Xenopus tropicalis: one gene and its partners. The protein of the gene in region 2 interacts with the protein of the main gene of each other region in a pairwise test. Links are inferred from orthologs where the notes say so. Each region holds a gene or a part of one and is shown on either strand. Other genes may lie near its edges.

Region 1 (4,546 bases), on a different chromosome or scaffold from region 2:
AAAAGGGCAATATTTACTGATATATATATTCCAGTTTGGTAAGATTCTTTAATAGGTCATTGGTTATGTATTCATTCTGGGGTATAGTTTTCCTTTAAGCTTTTACCTAATGAAAGAATATACTGCTACAATTGTAAACACAAAATGTCTTTTCCTGTACACCATAAATGTTTTTTTTTTTCATTTGCTTTCTACTTTTCTTTTTTCAATATTTGAGTGTTTTTCTAATATTAATGTTTAGGGCAGGCGAAATTGTAGGATAAAGCCCTAAAAATAACAAATCGGAGGATGTTCTGAACATGAAATAGTTGGCAGACACCAATCGTACAAAAGTGACTTACTGGAAATGCATTGCAGGTCCCCCAAGGATATCGTCAGGTAATAAATACATGCACAGATTTTATAATTTTCCGAGCAAAATTTTCTAACCTGGGATTGCCATGGTACACAAATTATCGGGATGATAATTCGGATCCCACACAAGGTCCGAAATATTTATGAAACTGCGTTTCGTACGATTTTATCAGTGCACATATGGCCAGCTTATTGCTGATGCCACACAAAACTGATTTTCGGCCTGTGGAAAAACACAGGCAGAGAATCGGCCCCTCTGCTGGCAACAAAAGCGGCAAAAGCAGGCATTTTCGGTCCAGTCTCCACTCCGCTCCATGTACCTGCACTCAAGCAAAAGTTGTACTTTTAGTGTAGGTAAACAGAGCTGCGTAAGGGAATAGATCTGCTTCTCTCACCTGAGAGAAGCAGAAGAAATGCTCTATATGTCCAGGGCCTACATTTTATTAAAGGCAGCTGCTAGAATTAATACAGTAGTTACTAATGTTTCACATGTTCTGCTGAGAAATCTATCAATTCATGTAGCAAACTATAACAGTTCAGAGTAACCTGGATTACTGAGATACCAGACTGTAGCACTTGAGACTTGAATATTAGGGAGAGGGCACACATAGTTACATAGGGTTAAAAAAAGACCAGTGTCCATCAAGTTCAACCCATCCAAGTAAACCCAGCACACCTTACCCACACCTACCAATCTATACACTCACATACATAAACTATAAATACAACCACTAGTACTAACTGTAGATATTAGTATCACAATAGCCTTGGATATTCTGATTGTTCAAGAACTCATTTAGGCCCCTCTTAAAGCATGTATAGTCTGCTTCTTTCTGCCTGCATTGGGCCAGGCAGAGAGAAGCAGATCTGCTCTAAACACTTCTGTGAGTAGCTGCACTGACAGACACAGCATCGGCCTTAATGCAGCTACACGGCGCAGAGACTGGCCTGAAAATGCCTGCTGTCGTGTTTTTCTGACCAATCACTGCTCTGTCTAGCAGCAATCAGGCCTATGCTATCACTATCAGTGCAACTACACACAGAAGCGTATAAATCAGATCTGCTTATCAAAACCTGCCTACCAAATGCAGGCCGAGAGAAGCGGACCATATGTCCTGTGTGCTCTCACCCTTAAAGAGCATGTCAACCCAAAAAATATATTTTGCCTAATAAAAGAAAACATAGTTCTAAGCAACTTTCTAATATGAATTTATAAACAAAAATGTTAGTGCTTCAAAAGTTATTTGTGAATGTAACTGCTATTGAAAGCAGCATTTAGTTAACTCCTGGTTGTTACTTTTTAAACAATGTTTCAAAGGTCAATCTCCTCCAGCAAGTCAGGTCTGTCAGTCTGCTGCTTGTGTTACAGTGATTCACAAGGCAGAGTTACCAGGGCAGAGAATACACATATATATATATATATATAAAGCAATGAAAAATTTTCCTATTTGGTGAACTGTTTAAACCGTAAAAAGCGTTTGGAAGAACTTGGGAGAATTCTTGGGACCAAGCTTTCCAGGGATTCTTTCTTAAAGGAACAGTAACACCAAAAAAATTCAAGTGTATGAAAGAAATTCCAATATAATGTACTGCTGCCCTGCACTGGTACAACTGGTGTTTTGCCTCAGAAACACTACTATGGTTTATATAAAGAATGCAGCTGTGTAGCCATGGGGGCAGTCATTCAAAGGAGAAAAGGCACAGGCACTTAGTAGATAACAGATAAAACACGATTGTATTCTACAGAGCTTATCCGTTATCTGCTATGTAACCTGTGCCTTTTCTCCTTTTTTCCAGCTTGAATGGCTGCCCCCATGGCTACACAGCAGCTTATTATATAAATTATAGTAGTGTTACTGTAGCAAACACACAACTTTTACCAGTGCAGGGCAACAGTGCATTATATTTCATTTACTTTAAAACTCTTTAATGTTTTGGTGTTACTGTTCCTTTAATTCAGAAGACTATGCTTAAAACCTACTAAAACGTGTTTAAAAGTTGAAAATAAACCAGAATACAAATGTTCTGATATCAACAGTTCGCTCATATTGTTTTATTGAAGGCCACATACAACACATACAAGGCATTTAGTAAAGAGAAAGCATGATGTCATGATTATGGCAATGGGGCCGTGGGGCTTTGTGTTGCTGTGTGCAGCTCAGTTGAATGAGGTTATCATGTGAATATACAGAAAGCAGCAGTTTGTGTGATTGCTGAATTAGCTGACAAACATGTGGTGATTCCAATGTGCTGCCATGTTTGGCCTAAGGGGAACTGGGATTTTCTTTCCCAGAGACAACAAACCCCCTGTGTGCCATTGCCCCTAGGCTCAGCCAGCCTGCATTTGCCTATACAGCACACCCCTGTCACCATGCTGCAAATAGCAGGCACCTTCCTCCATGGTGCATACCTTGCATTCCTCCTGTTAAACTCGACAAAAATGCAGTTGTGGGCTCGGAATCCATCTTTAATTCAGGAAGCTGGCACTGCTCTAGCCACATGTGGTGCTGGGGGCTGCCTCACATAAAGGAGACTGAGAGCAGCACGGAAACAATGAATGTGAATGCGCCATGGTACACAACCCTGCGCGCTTACCTGCACCGCACCGACTCGCTCGGCTCGCAGGAAACTAGAAGTCAGCACATACCACTTGGACGTAGAGAGAGGGGGGGGGGGATGATTAGTAATATAAATCTACGTTTAGAATTGGGTTGCTGAATTTGCTAGCAGGTTGTCAGGGCTTTAGAGCAGGTTAAAGGTTTCATACTGGAATATAAATGCAGGCTGTCCTCACTGCCGCTTTAGCGGTGTCCGGTATATGGGCTCCAAAGCCTGTTTATCAGAGCTGAAGGGAGACCCGTGTGTAGGCTGTACTGACGGCTGGGCGTGTCCTCTCACTCTCCCGCAGGAAGGTGTCATAACTGTGAGTGACAAGGAGACCTGCCCAAGCTCCTCCTCCTGTTTCTCTGCACAAACTGGGACACGTTATGTTATCTTTATCCTACTTGTGATAAAAGAAGTGCTTCTTTAGGGCTCTGGCACACGGGGGAGATTAGTCGCCCGCGATAAAACTCCCTGTTCGCGGGCGACTAATCTCCCCGAGTTGCCTACCCCTGCCATCCCACCGGCGAACATGTAAGTCGCCGGCGGGATGGCAGACGCGGCGGCGCGATTTCGCGCAAATCGCGAGTCTTTTTCGGCGATTCCCTGAAATTGCCCCGCCGCGTCTGCCATCCCGCCAGCAGGGGTAGGCAACTCGGGGAGATTAGTCGCCCGCGAGCAGGGAGTTTTATCGCGGGCGACTAATCTCCCCCGTGTGCCAGAGCCCTTAGGGCTCTGGCACACGGGGAGATTAGTCGCCCGCGGCAAAACTCCCTGTTCGCGGGCGACTAATCTCCCCGAGTTGCCATGACCTGCCATCCCACCGGCGAACATGTAAGTCGCGAAATCGCGACGAAATTTGCGCGAAATCGCGCCGCCGTGTCTGCCATCCCGCCGGCGACTTACATGTTCGCCGGTGGGATGGCAGGGGTAGGCAACTCGGGGAGATTAGTCGCCCGCGAACAGGGAGTTTTGCTGCGGGCGACTAATCTCCCTTGTCACGGGCGACTAATCTCCCCGAGTTGCCATGACCTGCCATCCCACCGGCGAACATGTAAGTCGCCGGCGGGATGGCACACGCGGCGGCACGATTTCCCGATATCGCCAAAAAAGACTCGTGAGGCAGGTCATGGCAACTTGGGGAGATTAGTCACCCGTGACAAGGGAGATTTGTTGCGGGCGACTAATCTCCCCGTGTGCCAGAGCCCTTAGCCCTGGCTGGGGGTAGTTATGTTTAGGAACCGCAAGATGCACAATATTGTTATCTGTACTGGCGTGTTGTATATAACAAACTCACCTACTTAGATTGTAAGCTCTATGGGGCAGGGACTGCCTTCCTACTGTGTCTCATACCACATGGCACTTATTCCTTGTGTATTTTGTACTTATTTATTGTATTTATTATAACACTTGTCCTCCCTGTGTGTAATTTTGTAAGATTGTACATCGCTGCGTACCCTTGTGGCGCTTTATAAATAAAGTTATACATACATACATACCTCTTGCGCAATGCCACACAAAGCATTTTGTTTCTAAGGGGATATCACTTCCAGCGGGCAAAAACATGACAACAAAAATATTCCACTATGGG
Region 2 (4,384 bases):
ATACAGGAGTTTGTGGGGAAGGAGTCCTTTAAAGGGAAACTACCACATTCTGTAATTTGAGTTTAAAAGCCATAATGAATATGTTGCGTCAACATTAATTCCAGAGCTGCATAGATTGTCCTGTGCATATGTACCAGAAAATAGGCTATATGTCAAATATGCACAAAGATTAAAAGCTTTTCCATGCCACAGGAGGAACTTACAGTGCAGATATGCTACACTACAGGACACTTAAGTCAATATTTTAATATGTAGAAAGAGGTGCACAAATAATAATCTAAGGGTCTTTAAAGAGGATTTAAAGTACTGTAAAAATAATTGCTGTGGGGCTTCATTAAAGTCTTTTGTGAAAGGGAGAGTAGAGTGCATGGTTAGTAATTGCTGACAGGGATACAAGAATTTTTATAAAAAAAAAAAAAAAAAGTCATGTTTGATTCTAAAATGATACGCATAAGTACTGCACTCCAAAGCCCTTGTCGTAGAACAGTTCAAATATGGTTGATGCCATCAGCTTGGCTGGCAAACCACACCCTTAATGCATGTGTAGTATGTTCAAGCCATATTACAAAGGTTCATGAATTCTAGGCCTAACCAACTCAAGAAGCCAGGTACAGCACTTCAGCACAGACTAGTAAATGTGGCCCTAAGGATCTGCTAGCTGTTCAAACCACATCAGTGCGATTAGCCATAGAAGCCAGTCAGCAAATAGATCTGATGTTCTAATTTGTTAGAAAATGGTCACTGCCAAATGGTTGCTATGGGCTAATGCACTAATTTAGTTTAGCACATCTTCATTAGCTTCATTAGATTACAGTTAATCAATGGAGTAAAACATTCTTTAATGGAGGCTGGGTAATCTTCCCACAGAAAGCCATGTTTCTTAGAGACTTTATATACACATTTACCCACACCTATTTAGCACATTAAACAAATGTGCAAGTCTTACTACAAAGGTCACTATGGTTTCAAATTAGTATGCCCCTTAGGAAGCAATATTAAATCAGGTGTCGCCTGGCCTTTTGGACCAGTCTGCCATTGTTGGCAACTGCAGCCTTAAGGATATTTTAAATAGCCAGATACATGACTGCTTAGATCATGCCTTTAGTCATTATAACCCAAGGGCCTAAGAACACTAAAGTAAACACCATAATGGTAGGAAGAAGAGTTAAAAAAAATCCTTTGCTGTGAAGTTACTTACTAGTATATTTTAATAAGTAAGTAGCACAGATAATGACATTTAAGAACACTGCTCATTATACTACTACTACACAAAAACGGGGGGTGGACACAGTATGGCGGCTTATTAGTGATAATCAGCAGTACGGTTAAATGAAAACACTTTGCTTTAGGTTTAACTTAATTTCCCTGCCATAATACTGCAACAAATTTATGCACCACTAGCTACATCAGTTAAAGAAACAGATAGTTTCCCTTTAGATATTCAGTATTTTATCATTAAGCGTTCGCTAGTGTGTTTAGTTATTAAACTGAAGCCTGTGCAGCACATACTAGCCTATCAATACCTGTTGAGCGAGTTCTCTTGTAGGGGCCAATACTAGAGCTTGGGTCTCCTTGAGATCAATCTCCAGCTGCTGCAGGATGGAAATAGCAAATGTGGCTGTCTTGCCAGTACCTGACTGAGCTTGAGCAATCACATCATACCCTAAAAAAAGTAGGATACACATTCAATGTTCCCACATTTTATTTTGGCACTTTAACTATTAGTCACATAATATACAAGTGATCAGCAAAACAGAAAAACTCTTCACATCAACTCAGTCCCGAAAGATGGTATGCCATCATCTCACTTGTATTAAGGGAAGCTTTTTATTCTACCTACTCAGATGTGAACTTTTCTTACCTTTGATACAGGGAATGATTGCCCTTTGTTGTATGGCTGATGGTTTTTCAAAACCATAAGCATAAATGCCTCTCAGAAGAGATTCTTTAAGATTCATGTCATCAAAATTGTCAACAATTTCATTCCAGTTGCTCTGCAATGGCAAGTTAACCAGTTATTTATCAGTGAGAAGCAGAATTTAACATAAAAGGAGAAATAAGCATTATGCTCACCTCAATGACACCATCGGGGTCCATACCATCAGGGCCTCCATGGTCTCTGAGAAGAATAACACAAGTGCACTTCAAGTCATGTCTTTGCCTTAAGCAAACGGACATACACCACCACCCAAGCTACAGAGCAGCAGCTATATTGGCACATGCATATATACAAGTTGATGTATAAGAGGCACACAGCCTAAAGAAGGCAGCTGCTGCAGTTACATTCATTTAACAGGCATAACAAGATGTTGCAGCTGCTACAGTATCCTGCTTACATTTAACAGTGATGGGACAGTTGCTTACTTAACATCTGTACCCAATAAAGTATATATCTATCACAGGATAACAATTACCTATCAAATTAATTAGTAACCGTAGCGAAGCATACAGCCAAGCTCTTGCGCCCTTCGCACAGTGCTCACAATTCATGGCGCCATGTTCTGCCGGCGCCATCTTCCCCCCCTCCCCACCCTGCGGATGAGAGCCACAGCCCTTAGGTGAATCCAAACCGTTTCGCTCTAAAATTGTGCGTAGGTCCGCAACCAAAAGACATAGCCGCATTCCCAAAGCTTACTCATGTGCAGAGCAGGGCATCATTACGGTCAGGAACACCTCGCCATACCGCTTCTAGTTACTACCCAACTACAACACCCTGCAGCATTTGGCACAAGATTCCGGGAATTCGCAGAGCCCTGAAGAAGCCCGCGTGTAAAGCCGACCAAGAAGGCCTTACACTCAGCCCCTAACAAATATATATTGCCACTAAATGTTATAGTCTCTACCACCCACTCCCTCTTTTAGGGCTACCTAAAAATCCTCGTTCAATAACTTGTGCAAAACAGTTACCTAGTATAATCCGCAGAACCGCCTGACATGATCCACACCGCACTTCAGAGCTCAACTGAAAAGGACTTGGAAAGCTACCACGTCCGATTTATACAACTGGGACTACATTCCGAACCGCGGACGAACACCAGTAAAAAGACGATTTTATTGACTAATGCGTGCAAGTCTCATACTATTCAGGATTACAACCCAAAAGCGGTAGAGATTATTTTATTATTTATTCTCGTACGACAATATTTTGTACTCTTATGTTATTTTGTGGTATAGGTACTATTTTTTTGTCGATGAGTCGTCTGTGCTCTCCGCGGAAAGATATTGCAGCATATTGTGTAGGGTTTCGGTCCCTGAACAGTACGGGGTTTCCGGAGCAGCCCCTGCACGGGCAGATTGCTAAGACCTCCTCCCTTGCGGTCAGTGGGTGACGTTCTGTGTGCTGTACGTGATGCAGGGAAGAGAAGCTGGATGGTGCAGTACCTCTAGCAATGAAGTTGTGCTGATAAAATGTTAAGCGTGTTTGCTAAAACGAGGTATCGTAATGTGTGCAAACTGCGCAAAGCATTGTAGCTCCAGCCCAACATCGGTATCATTTAACCTAGTTTATGTACATTATTGATTTCTGAAAACTGGAGAAAGTTCAAATCTATGTTGTTCTGCCTCAGCGGGGATTATTAAATGCAGAACATTATTAGATTTTCTGCAGTGGAGTTCTGCTTTTGCTGTGTAGGTATTTGTGATGGTAAGTGGTTCCCTCTGATGGCTTCTACATAACCCCCCCCCAAAAAAATATTCCTGCGTAAAATACTTTATTCTTTTGTGGGTTTTGTATTTTTATTGACTAACAATAATTCATGCAAACCTAAACTGCACACATTAATGTGGGCACAGTTAATTCTAATTAACACTGTGTTGGCAGCACTGATACACTAAAAATTAAATAAAACCATTAAAAATGCAATAAAATCATCAATATAAAATGTAAAAAGTAATTATGCAGGGTAATAAGCTTGCAAACAGGGCAATAAAACACTGTTCAGAGAAAAAAACTAAATAAAAGGTTTAAATGAATTTGTACACTTGGGGGCAGATTTATTAAAGTCCGAATTTAAATTAATGTAAAGTATGTTTTGGAAAAATTCGGGTTAAATGTGATAATTTCTGATGTGAGTTAATTGCGCGAAAATTTGTATTGTGATATGATCCGAAAGTTATGAAATTTTCGTATCTTAACAATCATAAATGGCGTGAAAAACTTTCTGACTGAACCTTCGGTGCATGATTTCGGAAGCCTACCATAGGACTCAATGGCACTCTGCTGCTCCAACCCGGCCCAAGGAAAGTCTCCCATAGGGCTCAATGGCACTCTGCAGCTCCAACCTGGCCCAAGGAAAGTCTCCCATAGGGCTCAATGGCACTCTGCAGCTCCAACCTGGCCCAAGGAAAGTCTCCCATAGGACTCAATGGCACTCTGCTGCTCCAA
Region 3 (4,565 bases), on a different chromosome or scaffold from region 2:
TCTCTTCCAAACCACTTCCTGGCTGCTAAGGTAACTTGGACCCTAGCAACCAAATAGCTGCTGAAACTCCAAACTAGAGAGCTGCTGAACTGAAAATGTCAAAAAAACCTACAAATAAAAAATGAAGACCAATTGCAAATTGTCTCAGAATATCACTCTCTACATCATACTAAAAGTTAACTCAAAGGTGGACATCCCCTTGAAGCTGTTGCTGGACATGGGGGCACCCCATGGGTTCCCAGTTTATCTTTTTAAGAAAATCCATCATTTTGAACGTTCATGTATCATAACTTACACTTATGTAAACAACAGGCAAAGTGCAAAGGAACAATCAGGTATTTGTTGTATTATTTTTGCTGCTGTGACAAACACAAAGGAAACAGAACAGAGCCGCAATCACACAATGCAGTTATATATCCCTTTCTCTGCCGCTCACTGCATCAAACCAACAACACTACATTACTTTAGCCCATGCTAGAGCGGCTACACACCAGCGCCAACGTATCACAAGTATCTGTACAATGAGTGATGCACAACAGAGACACGGCTGAACTATTTCACACACAATATAAAAGGAAGGAAGGAACACGCAGTGTAAAGGCAAAGTACTCCAGCAAAACATCTATTTAAAGGGACACTGCCATGATATTTATGGGGCACTTTTTATTTTCAAATGACACTGTTACACAGCAAATAATTCCCTCTGCCATTTAAACTTTTATTCTTGTACCAACAAATGTATTTGTAGCTGTAATATTGGTGTGTAGGCGCCATCTCAGTGCCTTGTGCCTGAGTCTGAGCTTTCAGCCAGCGCTACACATTAGAACTGCTTTCAGCTAACCTATTGTTTCTCCTACTCCCATGTAACTGGAGGAGTCCCAAGCCGGACTTGGATTTCTTACTATTGAGTGCTATTCTGATACCTACTGGGAGCTGCTATCTTGCTCCCTTCCCATTGTTCTGCTGATCGGCTGCTGGGGGATATCACTCCAACTTGCAGCGCAGCAGTAAAGTGTGCCTGAGTCTGAGCTTTCAGCAGGAGCCAGCGCTACACATTAGAACTGCTTTCAGCTAACCTATTGTTTCTCCTACTCCCATGTAACTGGAGGAGTCCCAAGCCGGACTTGGATTTCTTACTATTGAGTGCTATTCTGATACCTACTGGGAGCTGCTATCTTGCTCCCCTCCCATTGTTCTGCTGATCGGCTGCTGGGGGTGAGGGGGGGGGATATCACTCCAACTTGCTGCGCAGCAGTAAAGTGTGCCTGAAGTTTATCAGAGCACAGGTCACATGGCTGTGGCACTCTGGGAAATTAAGAATATGGCTAGCCCCATGGGAAAAACAGATTACAATGCAGGATTCTGCTGGAGAAGCTCTATTAACTGATGGGTTTTGTAACAAACATGTCTTCCCAAGACAATATTCCTTTTAAACACGAGCCAGTGATCTGGACGATGCTACTGACACAGCATGTTTGCAGCAGGAAATGAATGCTAAGTTTATAAAACACTTAGATCTCAAAATCTATGAGCAAACCTTAATAAAACACAAGCTAAAGAAAGATGAAACAACCGGTGCAATTTGGGTGAATGTTTATAACAATATAACAATGTTGTGCCTGTTAAAGGCTTGCAACTGCCCATTCCCTCACATACAGAGGATGCAGCGGTGGGACGGGCCCCTAGGGCTAGGGCTGCCGCCTGGACAGTAATTAGTGGCTTGCCAGTACAAGCAATACTATTTGCCCATGGTATTAATCTATTAATTAGATTTACATACAGGAAGGCTGGTATTTATGTTTTTAAGAACAGGTGGCAGTCACTCTCACAGCAATTCTATACAGAGTGCCAAGTGGTATAGCAGGAGGCAATGGCACTCCGGTAGCCCAGTTGCACCCTAAGGAGACACGGCACCCTCCTAGCCCCATGACTTGTAGAATAAACCGCACCCCCCCCCCAAAAAAATTAGGATTGGTCCTTAATGTTACGTAACATGCAGGAGACCCCCAGGAACCCCCAAATCCACTGCCACATACAATGACACACCCCCAGCCCCTCCCCCACCATGCACAGAGTATGACTCTCCCCTCCTTACCCAATGGAGAAAGGACAATCTGCACCCCCCCCCCCCCTGCACCCCCAACAGCAGGACAATCACCCTAATTCCCCACATATAGGACACACCCCTAACTACATGCCACACCCCTTACCCTGCCCAACAAGCCCTACAAATAGAATGGAAACGCCCCCTTACCCCTATAGGTGGGACAGGCCACACCCCCTCCAAAAGATAGGCCTCTCCACCGCCCTCATACAGGGCACAAACCCCAACTCCGACAGGACGGGGCAATTAACCGACCCCCCCCAACACTATATTTAACCCTTACTCCCCGCATACAGGGGGCAGGACACGCCCCCCCAACACTATATTTAACCCTTACTCCCCGCATACAGGGGGCAGGACACGTCCCCCCAGGACCCAAACTTTTAAAAGAGAAGATACGTTTCTGTTGCGCTTTATAATTACAAGTTAATAATAATAATGTCCCGCTCCTACACACACAGGACACGCCCCCCCCAAACAAACACAAGCCGGACCCCGTCTCCCACAAGCAGTAAACATGACACTAATCGCTACACCGCGCACACACGGGAGCCGCCAAGCCTCCCCAGAGACATTACACGCCTGACATTACCCCGGGCCGCAGATGTAACACACAGGTCTCTCTCCCTTCCGCCTGCGTGCTCTTCTGTGGCTGTTTATGTTTTGATCCCTCCGCCCTCCCGTACCTCACCTCAGCGCGTCTGCCCAGTAACACCGTCACATGTGCGGCGGGCGTGGCTTTTTTGCATTGGCAGGAGATGTAAGGTGTGCGGGACGAACACCAATAAGAACCTTGGAGGGCGGGGCATGCGGCTGTAGGAGGAGGGGCGAAATAATCTATGCGCACGTCAGGGGCTAGGGCGGGATATTTGTCTGAGGCGAGGAAAGTGGGAGCGGCCATTTTGTGTTATTGGGTTTAGGGGCGAGTCCTGTGTGTCGGATTCATTCTCAGCCTCAGCCTTATATACTATATTATCCTCACTGGGGAGTCTCTTCCCGCTACATGTTATTTACTGGCTCCCAGCCGGGCTTCGCGTTCAGCAGTGTCTGGTAATAGCCCAGTGGGGGTAGAATGTAATTACTGAAACTTTACATAATGTCAAAAGGGTTACAAAGTTTTTAAAAACATGATTTAATTGTAATTATCAGGTACGAACTGGGGTTAAATATAGCCCCCCCAGCCCCCCCCCCCCGTACCCCAGCCCAATAAATAGTGACCCTTTCAGGCTTAAACTGTAAAGTCCACTGGGAATTGTCACCAAGGGCAAGTGCACCTCATTAGTGGCCTGCACAACCAAAAGAGATAGAATGCAATTAGCGGGGGGGGGGGGGGGGCTCTGTCTATTCATTTAGGCAATTAAATGTGACCCAGGCCCAGGGATCCTGGAAAATATATCTAAAAGTTGGCTCTTTAGACCGATTTACCAGCTTATCTGCCTGTATATGGGCACCAACGACGGGCCTCCCCAACCAACATATGGCCTGAAACCGTCCAGATCTCTATTGAGCAGGCTTTATTTTTCCATGGATCAGGGGCTGCATCGGCTTGCCACCCGTAGGTGGGCATATGAGCCCAATAAAGAGTGACCTTACAGCCCCCCGACATTCCCAGTACCCAGAGGCACAAACAGCCCCCCAGCCCAATAAATAGTGACTGTCTGTGGCACCTTACAGCCCCCCCGGCATTCCCAGTACCCAGAGGCACAAACAGCCCCCCCAGACCAATAAATAGTGACTGTCTGTGGCACCTTACAGCCCCCCTGGCATTCCCAGTACCCAGAGGCACAAACAGCCCCCCCAGCCCAATAAATAGTGACTGTCTGTGGCACCTTACAGCCCCCCTGGCATTCCCAGTACCCAGAGGCACAAACAGCCCCCCCAGCCCAATAAATAGTCACTGTCTGTGGCACCTTACAGCCCCCCTGGCATTCCCAGTACCCAGAGGCACAAACAGCCCCCCCCCAGCCCAATAAATAGTGACTGTCTGTGGCACCTTACAGCCCCCCTGGCATTCCCAGTACCCAGAGGCACAAACAGCCCCCCCCAGCCCAATAAATAGTGACTGTCTGTGGCACCTTACAGCCCCCCTGGCATTCCCAGTACCCAGAGGCACAAACAGCCCCCCCAGCCCAATAAATAGTGACTGTCTGTGGCACCTTACAGCCCCCCCGGCATTCCCAGTACCCAGAGGCACAAACAGCCCCCCCAGCCCAATAAATAGTGACTGTGGCACCTTACAGCCCCCCTGGCATTCCCAGTACCCAGAGGCACAAACAGCCCCCCCAGCCCAATAAATAGTGACTGTCTGTGGCACCTTACAGCCCCCCTGGCATTCCCAGTACCCAGAGGCACAAACAGCCCCCCCAGCCCAATAAATAGTGACTGTCTGTGGCACCTTACAGCCCCCCTGGCATTCCCAGTACCCAGAGGCACAAACACCCCCCCCCCAGCCCAATAAATA

Evidence for each region.
Region 1: the proteins of eif4a2 (region 2) and E3 ubiquitin-protein ligase TRIM39 interact in binary tests that used the Homo sapiens proteins (3 or more experiments, as listed by UniProt). The two-hybrid records come from large-scale screens. The link is inferred for Xenopus tropicalis from reciprocal best matches to the Homo sapiens genes EIF4A2 and TRIM39.
Region 3: the proteins of eif4a2 (region 2) and pdcd4 interact in binary tests that used the Homo sapiens proteins (3 or more experiments, as listed by UniProt). The two-hybrid records come from large-scale screens. The link is inferred for Xenopus tropicalis from reciprocal best matches to the Homo sapiens genes EIF4A2 and PDCD4.

Annotation. Positions count from the first base shown.
Region 1 is NC_030678.2:143,271,417-143,275,962, reverse strand, and holds the start of E3 ubiquitin-protein ligase TRIM39, read right to left. Parts: upstream 2,944-4,546; 5' UTR 2,856-2,943; coding exon 2,765-2,855; intron 1-2,764.
Region 2 is NC_030681.2:105,926,209-105,930,592, forward strand, and holds the start of eif4a2 (eukaryotic initiation factor 4A-II), read right to left. Parts: upstream 2,963-4,384; 5' UTR 2,937-2,962; coding exon of another isoform or gene 2,908-2,936; intron 2,120-2,907; coding exon of another isoform or gene 2,074-2,119; intron 1,995-2,073; coding exon of another isoform or gene 1,925-1,994; coding exon 1,862-1,924; intron 1,811-1,861; exon of another isoform or gene 1,739-1,810; intron 1,664-1,738; coding exon of another isoform or gene 1,524-1,663; intron 1-1,523. UniProt on the Homo sapiens protein: ATP-dependent RNA helicase which is a subunit of the eIF4F complex involved in cap recognition and is required for mRNA binding to ribosome.
Region 3 is NC_030683.2:2,657,527-2,662,091, forward strand, and holds the start of pdcd4 (programmed cell death protein 4), read right to left. Parts: upstream 2,875-4,565; 5' UTR 2,796-2,874; exon of another isoform or gene 2,791-2,795; intron 2,785-2,790; exon of another isoform or gene 2,697-2,784; intron 1-2,696. UniProt on the Homo sapiens protein: Inhibits translation initiation and cap-dependent translation. May excert its function by hindering the interaction between EIF4A1 and EIF4G. Inhibits the helicase activity of EIF4A. Modulates the activation of JUN kinase.